Danio rerio: one gene and its partner. The protein of the gene in region 1 binds, or shares a complex with, the protein of each later gene. Links are inferred from orthologs where the notes say so. Each region holds a gene or a part of one and is shown on either strand. Other genes may lie near its edges.

The links. The genes of interacting proteins can lie anywhere in the genome.
Region 2: the proteins of fn1b (region 1) and col1a1b are in contact, whole or in part, in a crystal structure (PDB 3GXE), measured with the Homo sapiens proteins. The link is inferred for Danio rerio from reciprocal best matches to the Homo sapiens genes FN1 and COL1A1. Residues at the interface, in NP_997647.2 of Homo sapiens: Asp516, Gln517, Lys533, His535, Glu537, His539, Leu541, Gly549, Arg550, Gly551, Arg552, Trp553, Lys554, Cys555, Pro557, Gln560, Phe569; in NP_000079.2 of Homo sapiens: Leu261, Pro262, Gly263, Met264, Lys265, Gly266, His267, Arg268.

What each region holds. Positions count from the first base shown.
Region 1 is NC_133176.1:6,922,593-6,929,031, reverse strand, and holds part of fn1b (fibronectin 1b), read left to right. Parts: intron 1-352; coding exon 353-521; intron 522-613; coding exon 614-790; intron 791-2,514; coding exon 2,515-2,643; intron 2,644-2,794; coding exon 2,795-2,884; intron 2,885-2,982; coding exon 2,983-3,177; intron 3,178-5,074; coding exon 5,075-5,353; intron 5,354-5,432; coding exon 5,433-5,696; intron 5,697-5,786; coding exon 5,787-5,881; intron 5,882-6,439. UniProt on the Homo sapiens protein: Fibronectins bind cell surfaces and various compounds including collagen, fibrin, heparin, DNA, and actin. Fibronectins are involved in cell adhesion, cell motility, opsonization, wound healing, and maintenance of cell shape.
Region 2 is NC_133187.1:3,499,835-3,506,273, reverse strand, and holds part of col1a1b (collagen, type I, alpha 1b), read left to right. Parts: intron 1-387; coding exon 388-432; intron 433-1,031; coding exon 1,032-1,130; intron 1,131-1,632; coding exon 1,633-1,740; intron 1,741-2,725; coding exon 2,726-2,833; intron 2,834-2,996; coding exon 2,997-3,050; intron 3,051-3,509; coding exon 3,510-3,563; intron 3,564-3,645; coding exon 3,646-3,753; intron 3,754-3,841; coding exon 3,842-3,895; intron 3,896-4,755; coding exon 4,756-4,809; intron 4,810-5,157; coding exon 5,158-5,319; intron 5,320-6,266; coding exon 6,267-6,374; intron 6,375-6,439. UniProt on the Homo sapiens protein: Type I collagen is a member of group I collagen (fibrillar forming collagen).

The DNA of each region.
Region 1 (6,439 bases):
TAAAATAACCATGTGAATGCTAAAGAATCAGAACTAACTGTATCAGTTTCTTTATTTAGTCTAGATCAGGAGTGCCCAAACTCAGTCCTGGAGGTGCCGGTGTACTGCAGATTTTAGCTTCAAGCACAGTAAACACACCTGGATCAAGCTCTATCTAGGTATACTAGAAGCTTCCAAAAAGCTATGTTGAGGCAAGTTGGAGCTAAACTCTGCAGGACACCGACCCTCCAGGACCAAGTTTGGGCACCCCTGGTCTAGATCAAACAAACCAAGGTAACCTAACTACTAATGTGAACACTTGAGCCCTATTTTTTTTTTTTTTTTTAAGTATGTAACTTCTTCCATTTGACAGAAAAATACACGCACACCATGGAAGGAGGTCACTATTCCTGGCCACATCAACTCCTACACCATTTCAGGCCTCAAAGCAGGTTTGACGTATGAAGGCCAGTTGATCAGCATTCTGCGCTACGGACCAAGAGAGGTTACTCGGTTTGACTTCACCACCACATATGGCTCTCGTATGTAGCTTTACATATGTATTATCTTTACTCCCTTTTCTTCAGTAATTTCCAAAAAGAAAAACAACTTCAAACAACTTCTTGTTCTCCAGTGGCCAAAGCAGAGGGTGAGACCACCCAGCCTCGACAAGTAGTGGACACCTCAGAGTCTGTTACTGAAATTACCTCCAACAGCTTTGTCATCTCCTGGGTATCTGCATCTGACACAGTGTCTGGATTTAGAGTTGAATATGAACTCTCAGAAGAAGGAGCTCAGAAACGTGTGCTTGGTGAGTACAGTTGAAGATATTCCATTGATAACAAAATGAATAGGAGAAATATCAATACTCTACAACCACTATGAAGATCATGGATATATACACTAGATATCGCATAGGAACCCTGAGCATGCGTCAATAGCGCCGCCACATTGGTACAGTGCTCCCGGGACAAGTGTCATTCAACCGCACTAGTCAAGACAGTGTTATTACGTCAAGATGCGGGACTTTAGCGCTGTCTACGGGTGTAGTAACGAGCAAACAAACAAAACAAAGCGCAAAGGCAGAACGTTTCATTGGTAATATTAATTTTTTTTCTGTTTTTGTTTGTTCTGAACTTTTGTGCTAATCAGGTCACGTTATTGATGATAACAGTCACTTACTGCATTCACCATATGGCAAAGCAGCACCAACTCGCACTAAACACTTGGCTTATGCTAGTTTTGTTTAATAAAATCAGCAAACAATGCAAAAGAAATTTGAAAACGAGATGCTGCGCTGCCAGAAACTTGTCGGCTAACGTTAGTGAAAGAGTCGTTCGGGGGATTCATTCACAAACGAGTCGCTCCCTTTGTCAGTATGGGAAGTGAAAGCAGGAGAGGAGGTGTGTTTCAGGACACGGATTAGATTAAATTTAACAGGGAGGGTGAATAGTACATTTCTGTACACACAAGCTTTTTGTCAGGAATGCCCGTGCGGTCACTGATCCATCAATGTAGAAAAGTGATGTAAAATTATAATTTTCGTAATTAGAAAAAAAAATACATACTAACATCCAGGAAAACTCCCGATCATAGATATATGTGTATATCTCTGGCTTTGGGTGGCCACAGTCCTCCACTGTACCTTGGTCCCGCATTCATTTTAAAGGAGCGCTACCCTGTAGCAAGATGGCGGCGCTTTTGACGCATTCCGTCCAATAGACAACAGTAGGCCAGGCGACATCTAATGTATATATCTATGAATAAAGATGGCAGTAGCTGTCTGCAGCTCTCACATGGTCACCCATTACAGCCAAGTAGGGTTGTGTCCGGATAGTACCTCGATGGGATACTACATGGGAAAACTAGATTACAGCCAGAAGAGGTGCTCGTGAGGCCAGTAGGGGGTGCTTACTCTGTGTGGATCCTATTGCCCCAGTATAGAGCCGAGAGACTAGATTGTCAGTGTACTATCCTTCGGAGGTCCTGACTCTCTGTGGTCATTAAAATTTCAAGGATGTCCTCTGAAATAAATAGGAGTGTGTCCCTGGTATCTTGGCCAAATTTGCCCAGTGGCCTCTGTCCATCATGGCCTCTTAACTATCCACATATTATCTAACTGACTTCATGGCTCCTCTCCATCAATAAGTTCAGAATGCACTGACTGGCTGCTGTTGTGTCTTCCAGGTGGATGCTGCACACTGATGATAGTTGTGGATATCTCCAAAAAAAAAATCTGTAAAGTGCTTTGAGTCCCCTGAAAAGTGCTATATAACTGCAACAAAATATTAATATTATTAATCAACAAGATGACTGTGAGACATTTTTTGCTTTAGAAAGCCTATTATGACTAGCTCGTCCAATGATAATTTTGGCTAAAGAATCCATTTGTGATGTCATTTTTGTCAGATTAGAATCAATTCAATTTAGTTTGATTTGCTCTGGTATGTTAAATAAAAAGGTTACATCCTTTTCTCACGAAAATGATGGCATTCAATATATTGTATAATTTCTCAATTTGTCCCCATTGTGCAGACCTCCCAAGAACAACTACATCAGTGAACATTCAGGATCTTCTGCCTGGCCGTAGGTACAACGTTGATGTTTATGAAGTCAATCCAGAAGGAGATACAAAACTCATCCTGACTACAACTCAAACCACTGGTAAGATCACTGTATGTAGTGTCTTAGTTCCTGCTTACAACAGCAAAACCTTTTTGATTGTTCAAAATTATATGTACTACACTTTTTAAAGATTCACATTTTAACCAGCCGTCAGAATGTGCCTTCAAATGAATCTCCTATCTATTCACAGCACCTGATGCTCCAACCAATCATGAGGTCTCAAATGTCCAGGAGACCTCCATTGTGATCAGATGGTCCAAACCCAAAGCACCCATTACTGGTATAAGATATGCAAACCAACATTTGGGATTTAAGAATGTCTTATAAAGTTGTCTTTTGAGCATGGTGTATTGGAATGTGGAATGAACTCTTTTTCAGGCTATCGTGTGGTGTACACACCCTCAGTCGAGGGCAGCAGCACTGAGCTCATCCTCCCTGAGACTCAGACATCGGTGACACTGGGTGACCTACGACCTGGCCTGTCATACAATATCAGCATTTACTCAGTGGAAGACAACTTGGAGAGCGAACCTTTGGTCCTGCAGGCAAGCACAGCTGGAGAGCAACAGCCCGGTAAGAGCTCCTTTTATGGAGAAGAGATTTTTCATTTTTATAGCTTTCTGCTGTTTCAGTTAGCCTGTTTGTCAAAATATTCTCCACTCACACGTTCCTAGTATTTTATCTCTGCATTAAGTTCAAAGAGCTATTATTAAGAGAATTTTACTAACTTTTCTCAAAGCTGGTAAAAATGCCCAAGTTTCTCACTCATGTGTAAAAATGTCTGTTCACAGTGAGAGCTGGCACTAGCAAATGTCTGAGCTGGGAGATTTAGAGCTTACTCAGGGCCAAAACAACCTTATAAGGATAACCAAGTTTCAAGTGTGTCTTTGGGGGCTCAAATGTCCAGTTGATGTCTTTTTAACCAAACACATGCTACTTTATGGGAACTGTGAAGTGGTTTCTTCCGTGAATGATCTTGTTTTCCATCTTAAAGCTCATACTCTACTATTTTTAAACAGTGCAAAAGCATACAGTGAAGATTTAGATGTTCCAGATTCAATTAATATTTTGTTGTATGAAATAAGCCTCACTATTTCTCTTGCTATGGTTAGGGATTTTCAACAGACCCTTAACCCAAGGTATACAAGTTCAAACACTAGTGGTGCAATGGTTCAATCAACTTATGTATCACACAACTATGTATCACAGTTTTAGGGTCCTGGTTTGATACGGTATGGTATCTGCTATGTTTAGAAAAAAAAATGGCTACAGAAAAATTCAAAGAAAAATGTACATATTTCTTGGGTAACAAACACCTGATAATGCAGCAGGATTCTGCAGCAAATTCTCTCAATTAAATAAAAGTAGGGATTAAATTTTGGAAATTTTATCTTTAAAAAAAATGCTTAAATTTCCCCTCAGTCTCAACCAATATGCAGATAATAACTGTGTTAACACATCTTAATAATTAAGCACTTTTAGAGTATTGATTACTTCCGTTTACATTATGGCCACATTACCAAGGTAACAATGCATTTTTATCAATAATGATTACAGAGAGCTCTATTATCGCTTATCAGCACCATCATAGTGAATGAAACTTAAGCAAAAAGAGAGCATTCGGCTTTTCTCACTTAATTCGGCGGGAACAGTTAGTCGAGAAAAAAAACTTTTCTAAGCAGACAGCGGGAAAACAGAGTAAATAAATATTAGGAGCAATCTGTTTGGAATAACCCAGCGGGGGCGTGACTGAAGTAACAGACCTGCTCCATGTCTGGGTCCGCATGGGACACTTCTGGGTCTGGACACCGACCCCTGATCTAGGGTATATTTGGCATTCTTTTTTTTGTGTGTGTCTCAATTTACATTAAGTGTCTGTTGAAACACTGATGGCAATGTGCTGTGGTCTCAGCTGCACTTTAGCGCCATGTGTTGTGCTGAACTCTCAGAAACTCCAAATACACATTGATATGTTAGGAAACATGATGTCAACAACAGATTTACATACTAAGATTTGATTGTAAGGTCTTCGCACGTGCAATACATGTGAAAGGTAACCAGAAGTGTACAAAGGGGGAGCGTTTTTGCTTTGTTGCAGCTGTTTTTATGAAGAAACTAAACATTAATAATGCATATTCTGAACTGCGGATCACAGGGCGAACTGAACTGTGGGAGGACAATAGGATGATTAGATTTTTTTTTACAGAGAACCATTGCATTCCTACCAAACCCTGCTACAAATTTTGTTCCCAGAACGTTCTGAGGACAACACCTAGTAAAGTTTCCAGAATGTAATGATCATGAGAGTTTTCTTTAAAGGGTTGGCGAACATTCATGATTCTGGAATTCATCAAATTTGGAAAAATGACATTTCCAGGATGTCCTCTCTTATTTGGAAAAGTTATTCTTCTACTTTCCTTTGTAGTAGAGTGCTAAAAGATTGCTATTTTGTTTTCCATCTTATCAACAGAGGAAATCCAAGCTCCCACAGACCTGCAGTTTTATGAGGTTACCGATGTCAAGATCACTATCACCTGGACTGGTCCTCCTAATGAGGTCTCAGGATACCGTGTGACTTTTGCACCCGTAAGCACAGATGGCCAGGCCCAGAGACCCCTTCAGCTTCCTGTGACACACAATGCTTATGCGGAGCTCATGCGCCTTCAGCCTGGCACACTCTACCGTTTCCATATTTATGCAGTCAGCGGAGGAGTGGAGAGTGAACCTCTGATCGGGGAGAAATCTACAAGTGAGTGTTTGAGTTTTCCAAAAGATCTTACATTTCGTTATTATTATGTCTATATCATCACAACATTCTCCTTCCTCAGAGCCTGATGCCCCTACTGACTTGCGCTTCACTGATATCACCGATGACAGCGCTCTGGTCATCTGGTCTTTCCCCAGAGCTCAGGTCACAGGTTATCGTCTCTTCATCAGCATCGGCAGCTCCAGTCCCAAACAGCTGAGAATTCCTGGCCACAAGTCTCAATACAAGCTCCCCAACCTTCAGCCTGACACCGAGTATAGAGTCACCCTGCACTCAGAGCAAGGAAACACTCTTAGCGAAGGAATTACTGATACTTTCAGAACAAGTGCGTAACCTTTTCTTCTGAGGCGAAACAAGTGCAGTAATGTTCTTCTGTGCCCTTAGAGAAGTATACTCTAATTTGCTTGTTTTTCAGCTCAGCCCACGGGTAATGCTCCTCGATTCAACACTGAAGTCACTGACACTGCTATCATCGTCACCTGGATCCCTGTTGCAAAATTCAGTTACAGGGTATAAAAGCTTTATGAACAATTCGTTAGTTGACACATCTATGGCTAGGAACTATACTCTCTGTGGTGTAATACGCAAGGAACTTTGCTGCTGTACCATGCCTGTAGCAGGTGCAACCATATTATATAGATTCTGTTGGTGCAAGTGTAAGGCCCAATCCCAATTCTATTTTTGTACCCCTAGCCCTTCCCCTTGGCCCTTAAAACCAAGGGTTAAGGGGAAGGGCTTCAAAATTTACCCCTAAGAATTGGGACAGCACTACAGCACCTGCACACGTCATCATACGTCATCATGATCTCTTGCTTGATATGAGATCAGATGATCACGACTGCTGTAGTTTTTTCGAAGGAGTCGAAATTTAACATTTAGCTTTTTTTTTTTTTTTACACGACGGTAAAAAACGAACGCAGTTATGAATATATTAAAACTTGTGTTTGTTTGTGTAAAAATTCATAATAATGACAAAAAAATACTAATTTGTGGATCTTACTTCCGGGTGCAGCTGTGGCTGGTGTATTCTGGCAAATTTTCTTACCCCTTGGTTTCGAGTGTGGTCTT
Region 2 (6,439 bases), on another chromosome or scaffold:
GGTTGCTGACATGGCATTAAAAAAACATTACCAAAACTGCTTCAGACAACTGCATTATAACAATATTTGCACAACTTTTATTACTGTAGTTTCTGGAATCCCTCAGGCTCATTTGTATGAAGAGTTTTTGAGTATAATATGTCACGGTTTACTTCATTTTGCTATCCTCATTTACATAAATAAACTATAGTGTCCTGTACAACAATACAAACAAAATCCAAACAATTATAGCTGTTGTCTGAGTTTTTTTGTTTGTTTTACTGTATGCTTGCTGTATGGAGTTTAGGTTAAGTCACCATAATCAAGCGTATTGTAAACAATCATTTCATATTAAAAAAGCCAATCAGCATTTAATCTGTGTTATTGATTATGTTGATTGTTTAACAGGGTCTTCCTGGTGAAGCTGGTCCTTCTGGCCCTTCTGGTCCCAGAGTGAGTATATTCACATAAATATCCTTCATCTCAATCTGTAATACACACCTCTGTTTTCCGCTTTTGCACTTATTAAATGTATTCGCACTATTACTGATATATATATATATATATATATATATATATATATATATATATATATATATATATATATATATATATATATATATATATATATATATATATATATATATACATATATACATATATAGGAAATTCTTTTTGTATCTGTATGTTGTTTTTCAATTAACAACATACTTTAAAACAAAATATAGATGCAAAAGAAAGAAAAAGAAATAAATAGAAAAGCAATATTTTATAGTATGAAATGATGTAAAAGCTGTTTAAAAATATATATATTGCTTGATTATTTCACATTTTAAAAATGTAGTGTTATACATTCCATGCAAATCAAACGCTATTGGCTATTTTTTTAAAGGGGAGGAGCTACTCTATGCCCCTCCCTGTCTTTGTCAGACATCACACAGTACTGCACATTTCAAAGCACTTCACAGCACCTTTAAATATAAACAACTACAGTAGTTTCTGTTTACTTGTAATGAAATACAGTAGAGTAATGTTGTAAATGTCTCCCGTAGGGTGACCGAGGTTTCCCTGGTGAGCGTGGGTCCCCTGGACCTGGTGGCCCAACCGGCCCTCGTGGAGCCCCTGGATCCCCTGGTAATGATGGTGCAAAGGTAAGACTCCTGTTTCAATAACATAATGAGATATATATTTGTATTCCCGTCATCAGTACTAAAAAATTAAATAAATAAAAATAATAACTTGACATAGAATTTAAATATCGGAACTCTCTAGGAATTTAAAGGGATAGTTCACCCAAAATTGAAAATGTACTCAATATTTACTCTCCTTCAAGTGGTTTTGTTCGTCTAAAAACAAAAGAAGATAGTTTGACAATGTTGGTAACCTGTAAACATTGCCATCGATAGTTGGAAAAACAAATACTATAGAAGTCAATAGTCACCGGTTTCCAACATTTTTCTAAATATCTTCTTTTGTGATCAACAAAAAAACAGAACTCATAAAGGTTTAACACAAGTAAAGATTGTCCTTTTTGGGTGAGAGCTTGTAAGTTTATCTGGATAAAAGCATTTACAAAATTAATAAATGTATGGCAAATGTAAAATGCAGTACAGAGATGTCAGAGAAATAACCTGATGCTTTTTGTGTGTTCAGGGAGAGCCTGGTGCCGCTGGAGCCAACGGTGGTGTCGGACCCGCAGGGATGCAGGGAATGCCCGGAGAGCGCGGTGCTGGAGGAATGCCCGGAGCCCGAGGAGACAGAGTAAGATTATTACACTCATTCATCTGCAGCATTTTGACATTCTACCATCAGATATTTGTGCAAAATGATATCCGAGTTAGCGTTCATGAGTGTTGGGGATAGATGGATGGATAGATAGATAGATATAGATAGATATAGATAGATAGATAGATAGATAGATAGATAGATAGATAGATAGATAGATAGATAGATAGATAGATAGATAGATAGATAGATAGATAGATAGATAGATAGATAGATAGATAGATAGATAGATAGATACAAAATGCACATTATAGACTTAATTATATGTAGACTTTAGTTGTCCATCACATGTGTACACTGTAAAAAGTGTTTAGTTGATTTTACTTTTAAAAAGTGAGTAGACCCATTATCAATTATTAGGTAAATGTATGAAAAAGTATGTGCATAATTCTAAAAAATTAAGTTACATGAACTTAACATTTATAAATTACAACAGAACCAACATTTATTTAAGTAAAATCAATTAGTCACTTTTACGGTAATGGATTTACTCGTTTATTTTAAGTAATAGCTGTTTACAGTGTATAAATGGCCAATAATACATTGTAAAAACACAAAATTATATTGTTTTTAATTAGGTTTAGATCATGCTCCATGAAGATATTTTGAAAATTCCCTACAATTAATATGTCAAATATAATTTGTGATTAGTGATATGCTTTTCAAAGAACTTTAAAGGTGATTTTCTCAGTTGGGGTTTTAAAAATGTTCATATTCCAGATATTCATATAGATATATCGCAACTAAATATTGTCCTATCCTAACAAACCATACATAAATAGAGAACTGTAAAAGATTTATTGACCCTTATGACTGCTTTTGTTGCCCTTACTTAACCTAAATTGTCTTTTAATATTTCATCCAATGATTCTTGTTCTTAATATGACAGAACGTTTCGGTACATTTTCACCTATTTCAGTATAGCTTTATAAACAGTATTGATGCTGTGCTTTCTCTTTAGGGTGATGGTGGTCCTAAGGGTCCTGATGGTGCTCCTGGCAAAGATGGCGTGCGTGGCATGACCGGCCCTATTGGACCTCCTGGACCCAGTGGTGCTCCTGGTGATAAGGTAAAGACATATGAAACATTTATTAGATAGCATTGAAAGATTAACACCAATGTTGTCAAGCAATTACGTTTCAGCTTCAAAGTCATTTTAAATTGGTCACTTAATAAAAGGATAAAAGAATAATGTTGATACTAAATCAGCTTTGTATTTGGATGTGTTTTAGGGAGAGCCTGGTGCTGTTGGACCCCCAGGATTGACTGGACCTCGTGGAGGCCCTGTAAGTTATTACAGAAATTAAATATCTTGAAACATAGACATAAGGAGCAAAAGATAATGCTAACTTCCAAGCAGTTGCATGCAAAATGTATTAGCAGAATTAGCCTAGTGTATCATATTTGATCTACATTTTTAAGAATCTTTTGCACATAGTCTACTGCATGCCTTCTGATTTGTAAATCAGACTTTTATTTTGAAAATGGCACCTTTTTGCTCAGATTAAAATCAAGTATTTTTATTCTTATTTTTTTCATTATGTCACACTAGATAACCCGCAGAAGTCTAATGCATAAAATTTGAATAACTCAAACAAACATGCAAGCAATTTGTCATTTCTTTAGAGTTTATTAAATAAGTCATACAGGAGGTCCTGCTTCAAGCTTTGCACAGTATGTATGGGATTATATATAAACAATGTAGTGCATGTCACTGATGCATTTTGATTTTTGTCCTATCTCAGGGTGAGCGCGGTGAAGTCGGTGCTCCTGGACCTGCTGGTTTTGCTGGACCTCCTGTAAGTAAAGCAGTCTCTTCTCAATCATTTCCCACCATGAGGGGTTTCAATTTGAGGTTAACTATCTCTTCTCTTAATGCAGGGTGGCAATGGACAGCCTGGTGCTAAAGGAGAGACTGGAGACTCCGGACCCAAGGGTGACGCTGGAGCTCCTGGACCTGCTGGACCCGTTGGAGCTTCTGGACCACAGGTAATATCATCAGCATTAGAAGCAGATAAACTTTTTTTTTTGTTGGTGTTGATATAAGTGTTGTTAACTTATTGTTTGTTGTTGATAGGGACCTGCTGGTGCTACTGGACCTAAAGGTGCTCGTGGTGGTGCTGGACCTCCTGTAAGTGTGTTTTTACGCACTATTTATTGCATTATTACAATTTATTACACACTAAAAAGAACAATTTTACTTTCACTACCAAGTTATTCAGTGTTTTTTATTAAATTGTAATTTTAATAATGTATTTTTTTATTATTATGTCAGTTTTTTTTTTTTTTTTTGCTTATTTCTAGTGTTGTTTTACCTATTTTAGTATGTTATGTTGTAATATATATATAGTTACTTTTTTATACTAGATCCTCCACATTATACGTATCCATATAAAATTAAAACAGAATATTTGCTTTCATAATTATAGAATACAAGTTATGTATATATATATATATATATATATATATATATATAATTTTTTTTTTTTTTTTTCCTCTCCTTGGTCTACTTACACAATACACAGTTTTCTGAGAAAGTAATAAAAATAAATTTTAAAAAAGTAAATAAAAAAGAATAGTTTAGAATTACAGAATATATACGTAAACTCAAATAATATATACAAAATATATACCTAAACTCAAATAATATAATAGTTTTTAAAATTAAGACTATCATTTATTTTTGTTGTTTAGATTACTATTAGTATTATTATTAGTTGTAGTAGTATTAGCATTAGTATTAGTATTATTATGATATTAATTAACTAAAATTAGCCTCACACTTAAAATGCATGACTTTCTTTGCAAAAAAATATACATGTTTTGTTTCGTAAACTATGCATTTCTGACATTTTATGATATCAAATGATATGTAATGCAATCATAATAATTTTTAAATCTCTTTTTGGCATCATTTTCCCCACAAAATGCTATTGCAGTGTGTCTTTCAGGTTGTTTTATAGCAGTCTGTTCGTGTTTTTGTTTTATTAGGGTGCTACTGGTTTCCCTGGTGCTGCTGGTAGAGTCGGACCTCCAGGCCCCTCAGTAAGTATTATTCATTCTAAGCCAGGTCTAAATCCGGCTTTGCCAAAAATAGAGTGCTAAAAATAGCGATTGCAAAAATACAGCTTATAAATTTAAATAGTAAAATATTTACTTTACTTTTTTATGTGAATTTCATGTGGCCACTAGAAAATAGACATATTGTAAACTTGTGAATATGATATAAAATAAAGGGGTCGGCTTGCAAAATATATTTGTGAATCTCTGATTTAAGCAAATGTTTATGACTGACTTCATACTTTATGTAGCATTACTAGCTTCTCTTAGTCTTTGTTTTTTTTTTTTACTTTAGATTAATTTAATTTAATGCCTTCTGTTTGTCAATCTCAGGGTGCTTCTGGACCCCCTGGACCTACTGGTCCTGCTGGTAAAGAGGGACAAAGAGGAGCCCGTGGTGAGAAGGGACCCGCTGGCCGTCCTGGAGAGGCTGGAGCTGCTGGACCCCCAGGACCCTCCGGAGAGAGGGGTAGCCCTGGTCCCGATGGTCCTCTTGTAAGTAATCATATTTCCAACACTTCCAATATTGTCATTATACAGCTTAGTTTGGCTTAATGTTAATTCAGTTTAGTTCAATGACAAGATCAGCTTTAAATTCAGCTAAAGTTCATTCAGTTTGTTTCACAAATGTTTATATATTGCAGATAGAGGATATTACAATGATTACAGATTTTGTTGGTGTGATTATTGTCTGAGGAATAATCACAGTTTCAAGGTTAACAGGATTACTATACATTCATTAATTTTATAACACTATTATTTCATAAAATGACATGAAAACTACACAGTATATTAATAACACACAATAGAGTCAATTTCTCTCCTTAAAATAAAACTTTTTGACATTAACAACTAATAATTTCATTTATTTAACTGAAAATAACTAGCAATCAAAATAAAAATCTGTTTGGAATTAAATATACGAGACATAAATCTAACAAATGTAGATAAATGTAATCTAGAAGCCTTTTTTAATCTACTGCATTACAACATTGTTCTGTATTTTAATTTTGTGCATTTTTTCTAGATCTTTTAGCACCCAAATAATAATAAAAAAAACTCTAGCTACCTTTTGACTTCAACGATATACTTGCCTTTTGAAAAATACAGTACAATGAACATAAATAAAGCAACGAAACAAGGTCCACATCTCTGGAATTTAATAATTTCATTTCATGCAACAGAAATGCAGTAAAGCTAAGCCTTTACAGTTGATTAACCATGATGAATCAAAGCACAATTAATAGTGAAATTGGTTAATCACTGCATCCCTATTTGCAGTTAATCAATTATGAACCTATATCTGAACCGCTCAGATATCAATATGGTCATTAACCAGCTCACTATAGTTAAATTGTTGTTCATGCAATAGTGTCAGTGCAGTGCAAACACATGATGTCTTTGAATCTTAATGGTCTTTTATACCTCTTTCTTGTCTTTAGGGTCTCGCTGGAGCTCCTGGACCCCCTGGTGTTATTGGATCTCGTGGTATTGTTGGTCTTCCTGGACAGAGAGGAGAGAGAGGTTTCGGCGGCTTGGCAGGTCCTTCTGTAAGTACTCCGACAACAGATTTATATAGATATTAGATTTTATTTTAGGATTATTTGGATCTACA